Linked DNA regions of Arabidopsis thaliana. The protein of the gene in region 2 interacts with the protein of the main gene of each other region in a pairwise test. Each region holds a gene or a part of one and is shown on either strand. Other genes may lie near its edges.

Region 1 (6,639 bases), on a different chromosome or scaffold from region 2:
GAAAAGCGATTAACCCAGAAGCCAAAATCAATCAATACCCAGATTCTTCAAACCAAAGACGGCGGACTTGTGCTAGGGTTTTTCAAATAAATTAAACAGGAGAAGACTTTTCGCTTCTTTTTTTTTCTTCTTCTTCCTCGAAGAGAGAGAGAGAGAGAGATTTTGCGCCCAATATTTTTGGGGGAACAGAGAAGAAGAATTGAAGAAAGAGAGAGAGAGGAATCAGAAGACCGGTGGCTAACACCGAACGAGCCAATGGATCATGTGGCGTGTGGGTTTTTTACCGACACGTGTCGGTGTCGATGACGTGGCTGATGACGTATTATATCGACGGTCTGGTCTGGTAACTTTTATAGAAGGAGAAGGAGGAAAGTTTACGATGCGGACGGTCTTACGTTTATTTTGACACGTGGCGTAGTAGATGTTAACGTGTTCTTAAATCAAATTACAAAATTACAAAAAGTAAACAACGCTTTTTAATTTTTCTCCTTCTGTTTTCTTTTTTAGTGTTAACATTATGAGATTTGTTTTACTGAAGATATTTCCTGTTATTTGGATTAATCAAAAATAACAAAAAAAAAGGTGCTGTAAAACTTAGCAATTTAAAGGTAAAGTTAAAAGAATGTTAGTATCACCACTAACTAAAGAAAAAATCACAAAAATAATATGGTATTGTTTGAATATTCTTTTTTTTTTCATTTTAGTGTTAGTATTATGAGATTTTCGTGTAAAATTTTTGCTAAAAACATTGTTAAAAAAAATTAGTTTTGTTTATCGCTTTTAAATAGTTATTATTTTTAGTTTAAAAAAAAAAAATATTATTGTTTATTATCAAAGATGATTTGGTTTCGACTACCCGTGAAATTTTCGAATGTGATTACAGTTGTCGAATAGCGTATTTACTGTATTTTATTTAAGTGGATCTAAAATATGATATAATTATGATTAATCTAAAAAGAAATGTAAATTTAAGTTATATATCACTTTTGTAAATAATTTCTCTCGGAATTATTTTTTTTAAGTCCTTAATAATATCTTATGACAAAAAAAAAAATATGAATCTAGTTATCAGGTTTCCTTGGTAAAGAAAAATTTAGATGTAAGTTTCCTATTTGTAGATTCTATAATCATAACGGGTTTCACAAACAATTATAATACTGGTATCATTCGTTGACAAGAACTAATAATAATCTGGAGTTGACTTAATTAGAAAACTTTATTTGTAAATCAATTGTCAAAAGCCATTCGTATATTCTTAATACATTATGCAAATTAAAGAAGAGTGTTACTATAATGTATGCACGAAAACTATTCAAGTGGATGTAAAGACGATTGAAATCGACGGAACGTGACGGAGCAGTTGTTGACAAGTCACCGGAGCTTTTGCAAACTTCCGATAGACACACGACCTTGTCAACGACCTGAGAGTATAAATAATTGAAAATATCAACTCGATCTCTAAACACACCACGTGGAAAGCTATGAGACCACTGTCGGCTAATGACTAATAAAAGAAGTATCGTGCACGTGTTCCACGTTGATCAACAGCCACTTCACTGGCTGATGTCTCTGTTATTCAGATAGTGACTTAAGACGGCATTATATTGTCTTCAAGGGAAATATTAAAACGCTGCGTTTCCGTGTGATGGAATAATTTTGCAACCGTTGCCACTTTTACTTTTGGGAATTTGGTTGAACAGCAACTTGTTTTTTTTTTTTTGGTAAATATTTTTGGTTGAACTTGTCATTCAATGTAGCAAAACTTAGTAAAAATGCTACAAAACATAAAGATTTTCAAATGTGCCAAACCTCAGCTCTATGGACGATTTCCCTGTTCTAACTATACTAAAATGCATAGTTTTGGTGTAGTGATTAACAAAAATATGTATGGAATATAATCATGATGATAATGATAATGGTAAGATTATGCTTTTACTTTTGATTAAAAGCTAGTGATATGATTTGCCTCTTAATTTGAGTAGATGATTTTCAATGTTTGGTACTATTTTCATTGTTTTAGTGGGAAGAAAACAAAGAGATTTGGTGTTCAATGTAGCGTTAGTTAAGTAGATGAAAAGAGATACGTTGATGCTAATGATGATGTTATGATGTTTGATACTTTATATGTTTAATCATCATATTATCATTAATATGCTTTGTTTAAATGGTGATCTTTATGCTCTGTTTTGGCTTCTACTATATATATATGCTGTATTTTTCTATGGGAAAGCAAAGCATAAGTAACGACAGTTGAAGTCCAAGTAAAGTACTAGATTGTTTCATGCCCATTGTGCAAGAGCCATATTTTATTTATTAACAAAACATCCAACTGAGACTGGAGATACATAAAAGCTTGGAACATAATCCACTTTCAAGTGTTTGCTAACCACCGAGTGAGACAATGAACCAATATGTTATCAAACAAATGTGATAAACAAATACAAATTCTCCAATCGATTAGGCAGAACCGCAGCATTAGCTAGTGGATAAATCAAGAGTTCAAGAATCGAACACACAACATTCATTAACTTGTGTCTTGATGATGTCAAATTGTGAATCATGACTCAAAATGTATTACAACCATCATCATCATTAGGCCTCAATGCATCTCTTGTCTATGATCTAAAACGTATAGACAACACAAGGAACAAGCCGCCATGAGTGATCTGAGACAACTTTCCTTAAGGTAAGTAAACTGGTCATGGCATTTAATGCTTTTGAGTTTCAGAGTCTGGTTGATGTATAAGGGAAGATTTTTAAGTTTAGATAAGGGAAGTTTCACCCAAATATCATCTTTTGGTGTCGATCGATATTTCATATTTGATATTTTGTCCCACATTTTTGTTGATAATGTCAATATTGATATTATTTTATGCATGAGGTCTTGATATCATAGTTCAATTTTCGTTTTAGTCAAAATTGATGACTTTTTATTTTTCATTTTTTAAATAACTAATAGGTTCTAGGCCTAGGGGATTTGGTATTATGTTGTGCTTATATATAGGTTAATTTGTTTATATTCTTTTCAGATATAATCCTATTAGAAGATAGCATATTCGATATAAGTTTGTTTATGATTCTTAAAGTATATTCTCCTTGTATATAGGACGATCGTAGATATCACTAGATATGGGGAACTGTAATGCCTTTATATTGAAATCAATAGAGAATGATCTCCTCAACGGAGACTTTCATTAGCTTTCAAATCCAACATACTTATTAAGTAGGGCTCCTTCATCTTTTTCTTTTCTCCTCCTCCATCGTACGATATGTCTTCTCCAGCAGCCTCCACCACCAACGAGCCACGGCACGAGAATATTCATAGAGTTTCGTCGTCATCGTTATTCTCATTAGTAAAAGGACTCATAACAGGTTTACTCCAAAGTCAACTCATGAGACGAGCTATAAACTTAATCAACCGAAACCCTAGACCATACGATATTGCCGCGGACCAATCTTCTTTGTTGTTTTCGTCATTACCTTATGATGTAGTTTTGAACTGCTTAGCTCGTGTCTCCAGACGCTACTACCCAAACCTCTCTTGTGTTTCCAAAAGCTTCCAATCCCTTGTGCGTTCTCCTGAGCTTGCACATATGCGATCCTTAATAGGCAAAGATGATCCCGTCGTTTATGTTTGCTTTTCCGATACTAAGCCTTTTTTGGGCAGGAGACTTGATTGGTTTACTTTGAATCCAAACGAGAAGAAAACAAGTGTTCTTAACTCATTTCAGGTTTTTTCTTACTATATGTTGTATTGTCCCTCCGTCTCCATAGGTTCAAAGATCTACTTCGTTGGAGGATGCATGTACAAATGTTTGCCGGGCCTATTGATCTTTGATTCCTGGTCCGGCGAGTTGTGTGTGGGTCCTAGCATGAAGGAGGCTCGCATGTTACCGGGCGTGGCAGTAGTAAATGGGAAACTATACGTAATGGGAGGGTGCCGCGAAGACCAAATCCAAGTGGAGGTTTTCGACCCGAATTCACAAACTTGGGAAGTTGGACCTTTAAGTTCAGATGGGGAAGTCCGATACGGAAAAGGGTTAATGCGATATGGAGCAATTGTGACTGAAGCTGTAGCATTGGAAGGGAAGGTTTATTGTATGAGTTATAAAGATGGGAGTCACATAATCTACGATACGAAAGATGGAAAATGTGAGACTTTTTTGATGGCAGATGGAAAGGCATGGAGGAGAGGTGGAGTGTGTGTGGTAAACAGTGTGATCTATGTTTATTACATTAATCTTGGGGTAATGTGGTATGACCCTAAAGATAAGGTATGGAGAGAGGTTAAAGGTTTGAATAAGCTTGATTATAAATCAATTGACATGGTTGGGATGGTGGATTGCAATGGGAAACTTGGGTTTCTGTGGGGAAATAACACGAGAGAAATTATTAGTGGAAGAACCGAGAAGAGGATTTGGTGTGAGATGATCGTGTTGGAGAGGAGTGGAGTAGAAATCCATGGAACGGTCGAGTGGTCTGATCTCGTTGGATTTGTTCCTCATGACTATGAAATTTGGCGTTGTCTAGGTGTTTCTTATTAAAACTTAGTTTATGATGGTAATGGTGTGATGACGTTTTCTTACTTTGTGAATTACCATATTACTAATATGTTGCATTGGCTGAGCAGAATTGTGAGCATCACAGATTAAACATGATTTGCATCTTTGGTTGCTTTTCATTTTTAATATAGCACTTACGATAAATAGGTACCTATATACCAAAAACGTGTATTTGAAAAACAAAACAAGCTTTTAAACTTACAAAAAGTAACTGAAGGTTATAAAATATATAATCCTATTTACCATGACATTTGGCGTTGTCTAGATGTTTAAACAGTTTTTCTTGTAGTAGCATTTCTGATCAAAACTATAAAAGAGATGCTTATGATAGTAATGATGTTGTGAAACGTTTTCTTACTTTTTGTATGACAATTTTATTAATATAGCGTCTTACTTAGCTAAAAAGTTGATGTATGACAATTCAACAATAGAATTGTCTACTCTAGATGATCGACTGTTGTATCTGAAATCTAGATATACAAGTTTCTATGCGATTTTGGGCATTTCAGTATATGTCATCTAAATTCGTATCCAACTTTACGTGGTTCATGACTTGTCGACTTAGAGTAGGATTAGAATAGATTTGGCAAGCTAGTTTTACACCACATGTCACGGGAATATCCGTGTGAGTAGGTTGGCTCAATGATATTGAATTATTGATATATACTTACTCCAAGACTTGCCCACAACAAGTGGAGTTTAGCTTTTAATACGAGTCCCTCGGCCATGATTAGGGGTTTGGGGAGAGAATTAACGTCTGATCAAGAAAATATCAGAGGAGTAATTAGGAAGAAAAATCCAATCGAAATGTACAAGATTTGTCTAAAACACAAACAACACAATCATAATTTATCCTTTTTGATAATTTTACAGGATTTAATCACGCAGTAGTGTACAACACACAGTAGCTTTGCGATGAGCTTGGTACACCATCTCTTCTTTTCCCGCTCGCATCGACCACAATCTAGCCGTGGTGTCCGATGATGCTAATAGTACAAAGTGAAAACCAGTTTAAATACTCTTTTGTCTCACACAAGTTTTCCAGTGTAAAGAGATTAAGTAGTACCTGTTACAAGATATTCTCCATCCATTGAGAAGTCACAGTCCCATACCCATCTTTCATGACCTGTTAAATGATATTGATGAGAGTGTAAAAGAGAACACATACCCCTTTCAGAAACACGGAGAGACCATATACCTGTTAAAACTTTCTCAAGTTTGAAACCATCAAGGTTCCATATTTTGACTGTTTTATCAGATGATGCGGTCGCTAGATATCTGCTAACAAATATATAAGACCTTACAAAAAGAAAGAAGACAAAGAAAACAGGTTGCAAGAGAAAGAAGAAGAAACACATAATTACTTGTTTCCAGGAGAAAGGAGACATTTAAGGATGTGGCTATTATGAGCTTGTAGCTTATGAAGGGGCTCAAACTCGGTCATCGTCTAGCAAAAAACACAATCAAATTTTTAAATGACATGAACAATTATTTCAGCATAATGGAAGAAAGAAAGTTTTTCTTATGATTAGAACAGTACTTGTCTTTCACACAAGGAGCGCCATACATAACATGTTCCACGGTCGTTAGCAGCAACCACCATTGTCCCATCCCACATAACCGTTAAAGACCGTATAGGTGTACCGACTTCTGGTACCTATATATAGTTATACACCAAAGTAATATTATATATCTACAGATTCTTAGAAAATGTAACTAGGATAAAGAAATGTACCAGTTCACAGCTACACAAATCTGCTCTGAGATCCCATACACGTATATTACCGTTTTGGTCTCCAGATATCAATTCAGTCTATAAAAAAGGATAACAAGTAAGACAACTAAGCCGATTGCTACAAAACAACACTAAGATATGTACCTGATTTGGGTGTAAAACAACTGTGTTAACTGGTGAAACACTTCTAAACTCCCTTTGGCATTCTCGAACCCTGCATTTTCGGTTCACGGGTCAAATCAAAATGAGCATTGAGCTATATATAGAAGAGAGAAAAAAAAAACATGAATGTGCTATATACCTCAAGTCCCAGATCTTAACAGAGCCATCTTCTGACCCTGA
Region 2 (5,875 bases):
TAGCCAAATCATTACTGTTAGACCACTTGCTGTAACAAAGAAAGCTCAATTTACAGTAAAAGGCATCAATCTCCGTCGACCTGGCACAAGGTATGTTTATATACTCGTTGAAGCTTGACCCTCCATATCTTTTCTGTTGATGCTAATCGCCATTTTTACAGGTTACTTTGTACTGTTGAAGGAACACACTTGGTTCAGGAAGCAACACAAGGAGGGATGGAGGAGAGAGATGATCTAAAGGAGAATAATGAGATTGATTTTGTCAATTTTTCCTGTGAGATGCCTATTGCAAGTGGTCGAGGTTTCATGGAAGTAAGTGTACTTTCAGTTTCGTGCTCTGCGTTTCCTGTTGTTGCAGTGATATCTAAACGTGAGATTTTTGCTGGCCAATAATCTAGATTGAAGACCAAGGTGGGCTAAGCAGTAGTTTCTTCCCTTTCATAGTATCTGAAGACGAAGATATTTGTTCTGAAATCCGAAGACTCGAAAGCACATTAGAGTTTACTGGAACTGATTCTGCAATGCAAGCAATGGATTTCATCCACGAAATCGGTTGGCTTCTACACAGAAGTGAACTCAAGTCAAGACTTGCAGCATCAGATCATAATCCAGAGGATCTGTTTTCTTTAATACGGTTTAAGTTTCTAATAGAGTTCTCAATGGACCGGGAATGGTGCTGTGTGATGAAGAAGTTATTGAATATTCTATTCGAAGAAGGCACTGTTGATCCATCTCCTGATGCTGCGTTATCAGAACTGTGTCTTCTTCACAGAGCCGTGAGGAAAAATTCAAAACCCATGGTTGAGATGCTTCTTAGATTCAGTCCCAAGAAGAAGAATCAGACATTAGCCGGTTTGTTTAGACCCGATGCAGCTGGTCCAGGCGGTTTAACACCGCTTCACATTGCAGCTGGTAAAGACGGTTCAGAAGATGTGTTGGATGCCCTGACTGAGGATCCTGGAATGGTAAATTTGAATTTGATTTCCCTCTTTGACTTATATAAACTCAAAATCTGTTTTTGTCTGATAAAAAATCTTCTTGTTTGGTTCAGACTGGTATTCAAGCCTGGAAAAATTCCCGGGACAATACCGGATTCACACCAGAAGACTATGCACGTTTACGAGGTCACTTCTCGTATATTCATCTGGTGCAACGGAAACTCAGTCGGAAACCAATCGCCAAAGAACACGTGGTGGTCAACATTCCTGAGTCTTTCAACATTGAGCACAAACAAGAAAAGAGGAGTCCAATGGATTCTTCAAGCTTGGAGATAACACAGATAAACCAATGTAAGCTCTGTGATCACAAACGTGTGTTTGTCACAACGCACCACAAGTCTGTTGCCTACAGGCCAGCAATGCTTTCGATGGTAGCGATAGCAGCGGTTTGCGTTTGTGTCGCTCTTTTGTTCAAGAGTTGCCCGGAAGTGCTATATGTCTTTCAGCCATTCAGGTGGGAATTACTTGAGTATGGAACAAGCTAGTAAAACTTCCCTATACCAGACATTGAAAAAGAATCTTCTCAATAGAAGATGTGTTGGTGTGAAATCTACGAGTGTAATTTTATGTAACGTTTAATTATTTTTACTAGAATATGTATCATTCAGCTTTACAAGATTATATGTAATGTAGCTTTATCTGATGTTAAACCCCCGAATTTGTATAACTACGTTTTTGTGTGTTTGTTACATTTTGTACTTTGTCTTTGATGGCAAATCTTGAAGTGAGTGAGAATAACAACAAATCACATAAAACACCAACCAAATCCTTTTTTTCTTTTGACATTTAATCCATCTCGATCAAGTTTTGGGCCGAATCTACGAAACTGGGCCAATTGTAAAATTCGACCCGGTTCAGCTTGGTTTACTCCACTGAAAATGTTGATCCCACCGACTCTGACAGTTGGAGCTTATAAATACACAGACGCATAGATTCATAAGTTCGTTACATCATTTTTCTTCAAATCGCTCTCTAAATTCTTCTTCAATCTTGTTTCATCAACCTTGCTTTCCAGAGAAAAATCGCTCCATAACAATGTCGACGAAGATCATGTTGAAGAGCTCCGATGGTAAATCGTTCGAGATCGACGAAGACGTGGCACGCAAATCAATCGCGATAAACCATATGGTTGAGGACGGCTGCGCCACTGATGTAATACCGCTTCGAAACGTCACAAGCAAGATTCTCAAGATTGTGATCGATTATTGCGAGAAGCACGTCAAGAGCAAAGAAGAAGAAGATCTCAAGGAGTGGGACGCTGATTTCATGAAGACGATCGAAACAACCATTCTCTTTGATGTTATGATGGCTGCGAATTATCTCAATATTCAAAGCCTTCTTGATCTCACATGTAAAACTGTCTCGGATTTGCTCCAGGCTGATTTGCTCTCAGGGAAAACTCCAGATGAGATTCGCGCGCACTTCAACATCGAGAACGATCTAACAGCAGAGGAAGTAGCTAAGATTCGTGAGGAGAATCAATGGGCTTTTCAATGAGAGAGCGGATCATCAAAGTTGTTGATGCAAATCTACGTAGCTGGTGACTTCGTCTATATCGTTTTCTTCTTTAGTGTGTGTGTGTTTTCAGTTTTCTTTATGCTTCATGTAGATTGATGACTAAGACTTCGTCTATCTCTTGTTTGTTCGGTGTGTTTCTTTTGATTTCTTGGTGTGCAAGTCAACCAATGTTTGTATCTTTGCTTTAGAGACGAATCGTTTGTTGGATTTTGGTATGCTAACCAAATCTTAAGATCGATGTTGTTAAGAGTCTTTCTTTTGTTTCTGAAGCAATTCTTGAATATATGTGAAGTCAAATCTTTTTCTCATTTTCTTACTGTAATTGAGTTTTCTAATCCGAAACAGAGTACATGACACTTCAATTTCGATATTCAACTTGGTTATTTTGGTTTATATTCTTGTATCGTAATCAGACCGATGTAAATGGTCAAGATTGAACAATCAAAAAATAAAAATAGTGTGAAAGTTTTACTCTGTAAAGTTTTTGTTCTCTTTGCGACAAAGCAGGGGTTTTCTTTTCATTTTCTCTTAAGAATAAGGTAAACGTTTGCTACTTTTGAGATTATCATCAAATTTGATTTGGGTTATAACCTCTACTCAAGCCTACAACTATATAAAATTCGAGTCTAAAGAAACAATTTGGTGGATTTAATGAAGAAAAAAATATGGGATGATTCGATATGAGGTGCAAAATGCAATCATTATGGTATTAAACAGAGGCAGATATGGTTTGGATTTATTAAAATTTGGCTATATCAAGAGGGAACACATGATAAATTTACGTGACCATAATTACTTTTCTTCTTTTCTTTTGTTTTGAATGACATAAACAAAATTTGTAGATATTTTTCTTGCTTTCGGAGTTTTTTAAAATATGGAATATACACATGTAACGTTTTAGAAAGTTTCCATTTTTTTTTCTTTTTACCTCTTTTTTGTTGGTTCACTCGTTAAACTCTTGTTACAATTGTATTGAATTAGAGCCGTTCATTATGACACGTAGATTCGGATCTGATTTCCTTTTTGTACCGAAATTAGATCAATTGGGACTAGATCCATCAAAAACCCGGTTTAGGATTGGTTTACTCAACTGAATTTTCCTTTTAGGTTAAAATAGTAATTTCATCCATTATGAAAAAAGGCAAGAATTATACCGACTCTCACAATTAGGTCTCTCTATAAATACACACCTTTTGATATCTCTCCATCATCGAAAACCTTGTAAACAAAAATCGCCACCACAAAAAGAAAAAAGAAGGAAACGATGTCGAAGATGGTTATGTTGCTGAGCTCCGATGGTGAATCTTTCCAGGTCGAAGAAGCAGTCGCGGTCCAGTCACAGACGATAGCACATATGATTGAAGACGATTGCGTCGCCAATGGAGTCCCTATCGCAAACGTTACAGGAGTCATCCTCTCGAAGGTGATCGAGTATTGCAAGAAACACGTCGTTTCTGATTCACCAACCGAAGAGAGCAAAGACGAACTCAAGAAGTGGGACGCTGAGTTCATGAAGGCCCTGGAACAGTCGTCGACTCTCTTTGATGTTATGCTGGCTGCGAATTACCTAAACATAAAAGACCTGCTTGACCTTGGTTGCCAAACTGTTGCTGACATGATCACTGGCAAGAAACCAGACGAGATTCGTGCACTTCTTGGCATCGAGAACGATTTTACACCGGAGGAGGAAGAGGAGATTCGTAAGGAGAATCAATGGGCTTTTGAATGATTCTTTAGTTTTCTTTTTCGACGTTAGTGTGCTTTCTGATCTTCTTTATCAAGATCAATGTCTCGTGTTCTTTTTTCTTTAGTTTGTTTCCGATCTCTTGAACAGTGTCTTTTGTTCTTTCTTCTCTTGTGTGTATGTGTGTTTTCTTGATCAATGTGACTTCGTTATTGTCTTTTCTAATTCCTTTGGAGATTTATATGCTTGAGCAATTTTTAAGAACGATGTTGTCAAAAAGTCTTTTTATTTTATTTCTGTATAATCTATAATCGATTTTAATGCTACACTCATTCGATATAAATCTCTTTCAGTAGAACAAGAGTTGTGCTCATTTAGAAGATGACTCTTCTTTTGTTGTTTGCTGGATAAGTTGACTTCTCATAGAACATTCTTCAATCTGCAAAACATATATATATATATATATAAAGATCTTTTAAAACTCTTATACAAAGGAAAAAAAAAGGATGCACGATGATCATAAAAGTTTAAAATATTCTCAACTTATGTAAAGAAAGGTTGAGTACTTGTGAAGCTTGCGTTTTAAGAAGAGCCACAACGCAATTTTCTGTCAATGATCTTTCACTTCTAGCCACTCTTGTTAATTCTGACAACAAACTCTCCATCTCCTTTGCCTGCAAAATGTATTATCAACAAGGATTCTGATATACAGTCAATCTTCAATAGAAATAATAAAACCCTGACATTGATACTATTCTTCTACTAACCTTTGGCATATAGTTTCCAACATTTTGTGTAATGCCGTCAACAATCTTTGAAGCAGCCACAAGTCCATCTCCTAACTGTTTAGAATCAACCTGGTTTTTGACAAGCAAACTCTTAGTTGATACGTACATGCAGATGATTCTTCCTAGTTGATATTACTCATGAGCACAAGATACCATGATATCCCCATCGAGTGGAAGCCGTAATGAAGCATTGGAAAAAGCTTGGATTGTTTGTGACACCGAAGTCGAATACTCTTCTTCAATAGCAGACCATTGCTCCAAACATGGAGTCTGAAATAATGTGAAACATTTTCTCATAAGTCTCATATACGTTTATGTGAGAGTCAATAATATGGAAGTTTAAAGTATCTTTAAGCTTACTTGAGATTCTGTAATCGCGAGAAGAGCTTTAGTTTTCAATAAACGTTGAAGCTCTATGCGTTTCCTTTGCACAGAATCATGTAATTCTGATATCTTGGAACCAAAGGAATGGATCATGGTCTACAAGATAAAACAAAACACCATTAAACATAAACAGAACCTTTAGTTCAAAGATTTTACCATAAAAGCAGACCATCAGAGAAATTAACCTCAGTTTGTGTTTTATGAGTTTGAGTCTTCACTTGTGCATTGGCGTTTGCAAATCTCCATTGGAGGTAACGATTGTGGAGCAGTTTCAGAGAATGCACATCTTCCAATTGCTCTGTAACCTTCCTCTGTTTTTTAGTATCCGCTGGAACCTTGGGTGCCATTGGAGGCAATGGCAAGCCTAAACGTGAAAACGAACTGCTCTCACGAACGTTACAGCTTGAAGATGGTGAACTCACAGATCGATTAAGAGAAGAAGGTACAGGATTGTTGAAAACTTTAAGATGAGTTCTACAAGAAAGTGTTGGAAACTGATCTGA
Region 3 (6,639 bases), on a different chromosome or scaffold from region 2:
TATTAATAAAACCATACTACTTTTTTTTCTTTTAGTATATGATCTCTTTAGTTTTTACTTTTTTGTCTTTTATGTTTTGTTTAATTAATAATCTCGAGTTTTATACTAAACTGAAAGTGCACATGAATATGATATGTATTAAGTTGGATATTGAATCCCACAAAATCAAAAGATTTGATGAACTAAAAAAGTTCACGCAGCAAATTTGTTTTTCATTTGCTGAAGTTTTTATTGACTAATTAATTAGTTAACTAAAACCTGAAAGAAAAGAAAAAACGGAGGTAATAGTTTAGGGTACTGACGTGTGAGCTTACGCAATTTTCGAATTAGGAAGTGAGCTAGATTCTAGGGCTGTGATACGTGAATGTATATACTTTCTGTTTCGTGTTCAAGTCATATTTTAGTTTTTGTTTTGGTAAAAGAAGTCATATTTTAGCTGTGAAATTACAAATATATTTTTGTGATAACATTATAAATATATATTAACATGTGGAACCCTAATTCTCATTAAACTGCTCACGTTAAAGCACATGCAGTACACCAACCATTTAAATTGTTTTGCTTAGCACGATTTTGTTTCATTCATGATTCAAAACTTCAATTTTTCTTCGTCTGTTTTTATATAAATATTCGAAACATTTATAGAATTTTTTTGTTTTTAATTTGTAATTTGGATGTGGTCAAAAATCATACTTGGATCTATATTGATGTTATACATTTCACGACTTCAAAAGAAACTATTGCTCGCTCTATTTCTGTCATTAATTAACTCATAACTTAACTTACACAAAAATTGAGATGATGACAATCATGAAACTATTTAAAAAGAAAAAGACCAGACCGGCCAATGTTAGACTAGGATTAGTGGCTATTATTCTAGTGACAGGGGTGCGATGAGTACCATTGTTTTTGAACATGTCTCTTTGTCTTCGCGATGAACCAAGCGGTCCCAAAAGTATTGGCAATAGATAGAGCCTCAATACCTTTAATTAATTATAAATTTCCCTGAATTTATATTCTCCAAAAATGAATGTTATTTTTTTCATCAATCAAAAAAAGTTGTTGGGTTTTAGTCCACCAAAAAGATGTTTGAGTTTCGATTGTTTGTGTTCAAAAAATCAAATTACATAACAAAAGCCAGAACTTTTTTTTATATCAAAAAGTAAAGAAAAAATAAGAAAAACAAAAAATCATAACTTTTTTTATTGAGGTGATAAGGAATGTAATTTATTGACGTCTTGTGAACCCGATATAAATCTAAAACTTGAAGTAGCTAATGAAACATAACAGGAAATGTTGGAGTGGTATAGAAATTACCTTTAATTTACCTTTAATTGTATAGAAATTAAAGATAAAATAAAAAGATAAATCTATGAAACAATTATTTTGTCTATATACCAAAAGGGTTAGTTTTCTTGTGTTTAGTTTTTTGGAATGGAAATATATTATTTAAATTGGAATATTTTTTTGGTTGAACACAATTGGAATATGTAAAGGTTGATTTCATGTACTTGAAAGATTATGGTCAGAAGCCTTCTCACACGGTTAAGAAAAATAAAAAAAATATGTTGTCTATTTATTTGGTTCAAATTAAGTTTTTGTGTGGGCTTTGTGGGCTAGCTATTTAGTATGGGCCTAGATCTGGACTTCTGTAAATCTTAGGACTACACTTAACTCTATTACTCTCATAGTATGCCACTATGTGGGGTCTATGGCCACTATTGCTATCAATTATTACATATTTACATTACTTACGTACATTTTCGTATTTCTAATGTAATTTTTTTGTTTAGAAACTTATATAAGTGGGAAGTTTTAGAGCTAAATCTGAATTTTCTCAACTGGGGAGAAAAACTCCCTTGTCTCATCATCCCATTCCACTCACCACGAAAACTCAATTTGTTACATTAACATTATGTGTAACCTTTTCGAGAATCGCGTTTCACAAAAATATCTATTATTTGACCAGAGTCAACGGTTACGTGAATCTGATTCCAATTGCGTTCCAACTTCCAAGTTCCAACACTTCACAAACAAAAACAAATATCTTCCCTCAAATCTCAATCTTCAAAAAAAAAACAAATATCTTTCACAAAATATGATGACGTGGAAGAAGCGAGTGGTTGAGTAGGCTAGATATTTTCTCGGAATATCCCCTGGTGACGTGTTACAATCGAACAAGAGTAGACTTACTTTTTTTAAACATACCCCTGATATATCCTTTTAATTACGAAAATTGCCACCAACTCCTGGCGCGAAGACTTCTTGCCTCGTCTTAAATATAAAGGGTATATTCGTCAATAAGTCACCAACTAAGCCAAGATATTTTAAAAGTTTAAACAGACACAAAAAGAAATAAAATATCATAAGGCTGAGAGCTTATCAGAGAAGAAGAAGATATTTCTGTAAGCGAGAAAAATGGCGAGAGAACATGCGATCGGAGAAGCCACCGGAAAACGAAAGAAACGCGGCAGAGTTGAAGAAGCAGAAGAATACTGTAACGATGGAATCGAAGAACAAGTAGAGGATGAGAAGCTTCCGTTAGAGGTTGGGATGTTCTATTACCCAATGACTCCGCCTTCGTTCATTGTTTCCGATGCTCTGGAGCCAGATTTTCCTTTGATCTATGTCAACAGAGTCTTCGAAGTCTTCACTGGCTATCGTGCCGATGAAGTTCTTGGTCGTAACTGGTATATTAATTTCTCCGATTTCCCCCTTTTTGAATTGGAGTGTGTTGTTATCAATTCTCTTGAATAATGCTGCATTTGTGGTTGAATCTGCTTGGTTTCAGTCGATTCCTACAGTACAGAGATCCTCGAGCTCAAAGGCGTCACCCATTGGTTGATCCTGTGGTTGTATCTGAGATTAGGAGATGTCTTGAAGAAGGTATTGAATTCCAAGGAGAGCTTCTTAATTTCAGAAAAGATGGTACTCCTTTGGTTAACAGACTACGGCTTGCTCCAATACGTGACGATGATGGAACCATTACACACGTAATTGGGATACAGGTCTTCTCTGAAACGACTATAGACCTTGACCGTGTCTCGTATCCTGTGTTCAAACATAAACAACAGCTTGATCAAACATCTGAGTGCTTGTTTCCAAGTGGAAGCCCGAGGTTTAAGGAGCATCATGAAGATTTCTGTGGGATATTGCAGCTATCTGATGAAGTTTTGGCTCATAACATCTTATCTCGGTTAACTCCAAGGGACGTTGCTTCAATTGGTTCTGCTTGCAGGAGGTTGAGGCAGTTGACGAAGAACGAGAGTGTGAGGAAGATGGTATGTCAGAATGCGTGGGGAAAAGAGATAACTGGAACACTGGAGATTATGACTAAGAAGCTAAGATGGGGTCGGTTAGCTAGAGAGCTCACCACTCTTGAAGCTGTGTGTTGGCGTAAATTTACTGTTGGAGGGATTGTACAACCTTCCCGCTGCAATTTCAGCGCGTGTGCTGTTGGGAACCGGCTTGTGCTATTTGGTGGGGAAGGGGTTAACATGCAGCCATTGGATGATACTTTTGTTCTCAATCTTGATGCAGAGTGTCCTGAGTGGCAGCGTGTGAGGGTGACGTCGTCGCCTCCAGGACGTTGGGGACACACACTCTCGTGTCTCAACGGGTCGTGGTTGGTAGTCTTTGGAGGGTGTGGAAGACAAGGATTGCTTAATGATGTATTTGTGCTTGATCTAGACGCTAAGCATCCCACATGGAAGGAAGTAGCAGGAGGAACTCCTCCATTGCCAAGATCTTGGCACAGCTCGTGCACCATTGAGGGCTCTAAACTGGTTGTCTCAGGTGGCTGCACAGACGCTGGAGTGCTTCTCAGCGACACCTTCTTGTTGGATCTGACAACAGATAAACCGACATGGAAAGAGATCCCGACATCATGGGCTCCTCCTTCTAGACTTGGGCATTCTTTATCGGTCTTTGGTCGGACTAAAATCCTAATGTTTGGCGGGCTTGCAAATAGTGGTCATCTAAAGCTAAGGTCAGGGGAGGCATACACTATAGACTTGGAGGATGAAGAACCAAGATGGAGAGAGCTTGAGTGTAGCGCATTCCCAGGCGTGGTTGTACCGCCTCCAAGACTAGACCATGTGGCTGTGAGCATGCCGTGTGGTAGGGTCATCATCTTTGGAGGGTCGATTGCAGGGCTTCACTCTCCTTCGCAACTGTTTCTAATAGATCCTGCAGAAGAGAAACCGTCATGGAGGATCCTGAATGTCCCCGGGAAACCGCCTAAGTTAGCTTGGGGACATAGCACATGCGTTGTTGGAGGAACTAGAGTATTGGTCCTTGGTGGTCACACTGGTGAGGAATGGATACTCAATGAATTACATGAACTCTGCTTGGCTAGCCGGCAAGACTCGGATCTGTAAAGACTCTTTCCTTCTTCATTTGGTTTGTGGTTTTGTATCTGTCACATTCCAAACTCTTACGACATGTAGAAGAGATATATCAGAAGCTAGAAGCGTGTGTACATAGTAAATTAGTGATTGTTGTACGCTTTAGATAGATATTCATGTAATGTTAATGGTTTTGCTGTATGAAGATCCTTCTATAATATACTTCTCCTTGTTACTCGACCATGCAGGATTTGATTTTTGACGTACCATCCAAAAGAGAGAAGACACTGAGTTTGGACATATATATATATATCCACAAACCCAAAAGTAGAAATAATCACACAACACCTCAAGTAAATAGAATGAAGAAACCGAAAAAGTAAAGTACACAAACTTCAATACAGAGCTAAAACCTATACAGCCAAACAAACTACTTCCATAGGACAGAAAATGTTATGCGAAAATGTCAAACATCTCTCCCTCCACCCTTTTTTCTTGTCGTCATCGCTAAGCAGTGTAAGCCGATCTAAGTCAGAAAGCATACTTATCTTTTTCATCCTTAAGTTCTATGGTAATTCAATAAATCACAGAGGATGTAAAGGAAAGCAAGAGAAATAAAAAAGAGATATAAAGGTTAAAAAGAGCTTAAAAATCACACCAGCCTATAACGGTTTTACTTGTTTAAACTGATACGACCACAAGAACTAGTCACATCTCCTCCCTCATCTCATTGTGTACTCCTTGTTAACCCACTTCGGCCAGCAGCTCTGCAGAATATCGAACACCAAGCTTAGTCTGATTGCTAAAATCGCAATTTGATCATAAAAATAGACAAAGATATTCAACATTGTTAGATACCTTGCAGCAAGAATCTGGGCGGTGTTGGATGAGGGTTTGGTGTTTGAAGACCTTTTAGCTCTATTATCCTGATCTTTATCCACACGCATTGCAGCAACCTCTTTCTCCATTGCAGCCACTTCCCTTCTCATCTTCTTTGCTTCAACTTCCATTGCCTTTGTTAAAGTTTCAACCTTTTTTGCTAACATCTACAAGAAAAATATCAAGACTTCCATTACAAACACGTCTTTTTAACAACATTTTATATGGTACATTCAGAGAGATTTTACCTCTATGGCATCATCCTTGTCTTTGAGGCTTTGATCCTTTTCATGCGAAGATTTTCTCAAGGCGACTACTTCCTTCTGTAGTAAATCATACAAAACCCCTGGGACATTGTCTTCGGTTGCTGGTGCAGGGAGTTCACTTGGTGGCTTCTCTTCTGAATCTTCTTTCCAGGTATTAGGTGACTCTGATTCTTTGGTTTCATCACAAGCCTTGTTGAACGAATAATTCCCAGGTCCTTTTAAGAGTGCTTTGCCTCTATCCAATGATCTTGTGCCTCCATCGAATGACTTGGATGTTCCTTTAGCATTCTTCAATACCGAGGTGGAATTAGAAGTAAAGGAATTTCTCATCGGAGTTTTCTTTGACAAAAAGCCATTTGACGCAAACTTTTGTAAATTATCTGATCCACCGATTGACTGCCTGCGAGACGGTCCATTACTCATGCTTCTTCCCTCAGGTGTGTTCCTTATGCTGATGCTTGATGTGCCTCTCAGTGTCTCTTCAAGCACTCTAAGTCGTAGTTGAAACTTGTCCTAGAAATTGTATAAGGAAATAGTTTACTAATTAGTTCAGTTAAACAAGAACATAAATTCGACAATGACTAATGCATAAATACGATGAATACTTTTAGCTGTGCTTCAGATTTCGCAGCTCGATCTGATATGGCAAGCTTATCGCGGAGTTGCTGCATTTCTCCCTGCAAGAAGAGAGTTAAAGAGTGAGAATGTAAGGTTGTGTGCCTTTGTCACTTCAAAGAATCTGGATTCCACAAATTTAGGAAAAGGGCAATCATATCAAAGTAAACCTGTAGAAACCTTCTTTCTTCAAGCCATTGCTTCACAGGCATCACTTTATCATTACCATCTTTCCATTCATTTGCAACCACTGTCGCAACTCTGTTTGCTGTAACCTTTGCACGCGCAAGTTCCCGGTCAAGAGTTTTTCGTTCTTCCTGCAAAAGTAGAGCAAGAAATATTCCTTCATCAGTTGAGTAAAGATTCTATACTTCTTTTTTCGGAAATGTATTAACTTACGTTCATCTCTTGAAACTTCCGCTGGTAATCCCTCACGGCATTTGCAGCAGCACCACCAGCAAGAACGGCCTCTTCCAGTTCCCGTACAGTCTGAGTAAGCTTTTCCACCTCCGCAACCTTTTGCCTGTGCATTC

Evidence for each region.
Region 1: the proteins of SK13 (region 2) and AT2G22030 interact in a two-hybrid assay, tested with the Arabidopsis thaliana proteins (one study listed by BioGRID).
Region 3: the proteins of SK13 (region 2) and FKF1 interact in a two-hybrid assay, tested with the Arabidopsis thaliana proteins (2 studies listed by BioGRID).

Annotation. Positions count from the first base shown.
Region 1 is NC_003071.7:9,369,138-9,375,776, forward strand, and holds AT2G22030 (Galactose oxidase/kelch repeat superfamily protein), read left to right. Parts: upstream 1-3,392; coding exon 3,393-4,544; downstream 4,545-6,639. Other genes in the region: LST8-2 (Transducin/WD40 repeat-like superfamily protein), read right to left, coding at 5,439-5,548, 5,629-5,688, 5,761-5,843, 5,927-6,009, 6,103-6,219, 6,298-6,375, 6,442-6,511, 6,599-6,639.
Region 2 is NC_003074.8:22,161,464-22,167,338, reverse strand, and holds SK13 (SKP1-like 13), read left to right. Parts: upstream 1-3,737; 5' UTR 3,738-3,780; coding exon 3,781-4,245; 3' UTR 4,246-4,425; downstream 4,426-5,875. Other genes in the region: SPL12 (squamosa promoter-binding protein-like 12), read left to right, coding at 1-90, 162-312, 399-965, 1,052-1,483; SK5 (SKP1-like 5), read left to right, coding at 2,034-2,495; QWRF6 (QWRF motif protein (DUF566)), read right to left, coding at 4,571-4,639, 4,767-4,874, 4,968-5,057, 5,142-5,258, 5,349-5,468, 5,558-5,875. UniProt on the Arabidopsis thaliana protein: Involved in ubiquitination and subsequent proteasomal degradation of target proteins. Together with CUL1, RBX1 and a F-box protein, it forms a SCF E3 ubiquitin ligase complex. The functional specificity of this complex depends on the type of F-box protein.
Region 3 is NC_003070.9:25,506,319-25,512,957, forward strand, and holds FKF1 (flavin-binding, kelch repeat, f box 1), read left to right. Parts: upstream 1-2,320; 5' UTR 2,321-2,418; coding exon 2,419-2,690; intron 2,691-2,791; coding exon 2,792-4,379; 3' UTR 4,380-4,589; downstream 4,590-6,639. Other genes in the region: MAP70-1 (microtubule-associated proteins 70-1), read right to left, coding at 5,074-5,113, 5,205-5,392, 5,474-6,004, 6,097-6,168, 6,277-6,423, 6,506-6,639. UniProt on the Arabidopsis thaliana protein: Component of an E3 ubiquitin ligase complex that plays a central role in blue light-dependent circadian cycles.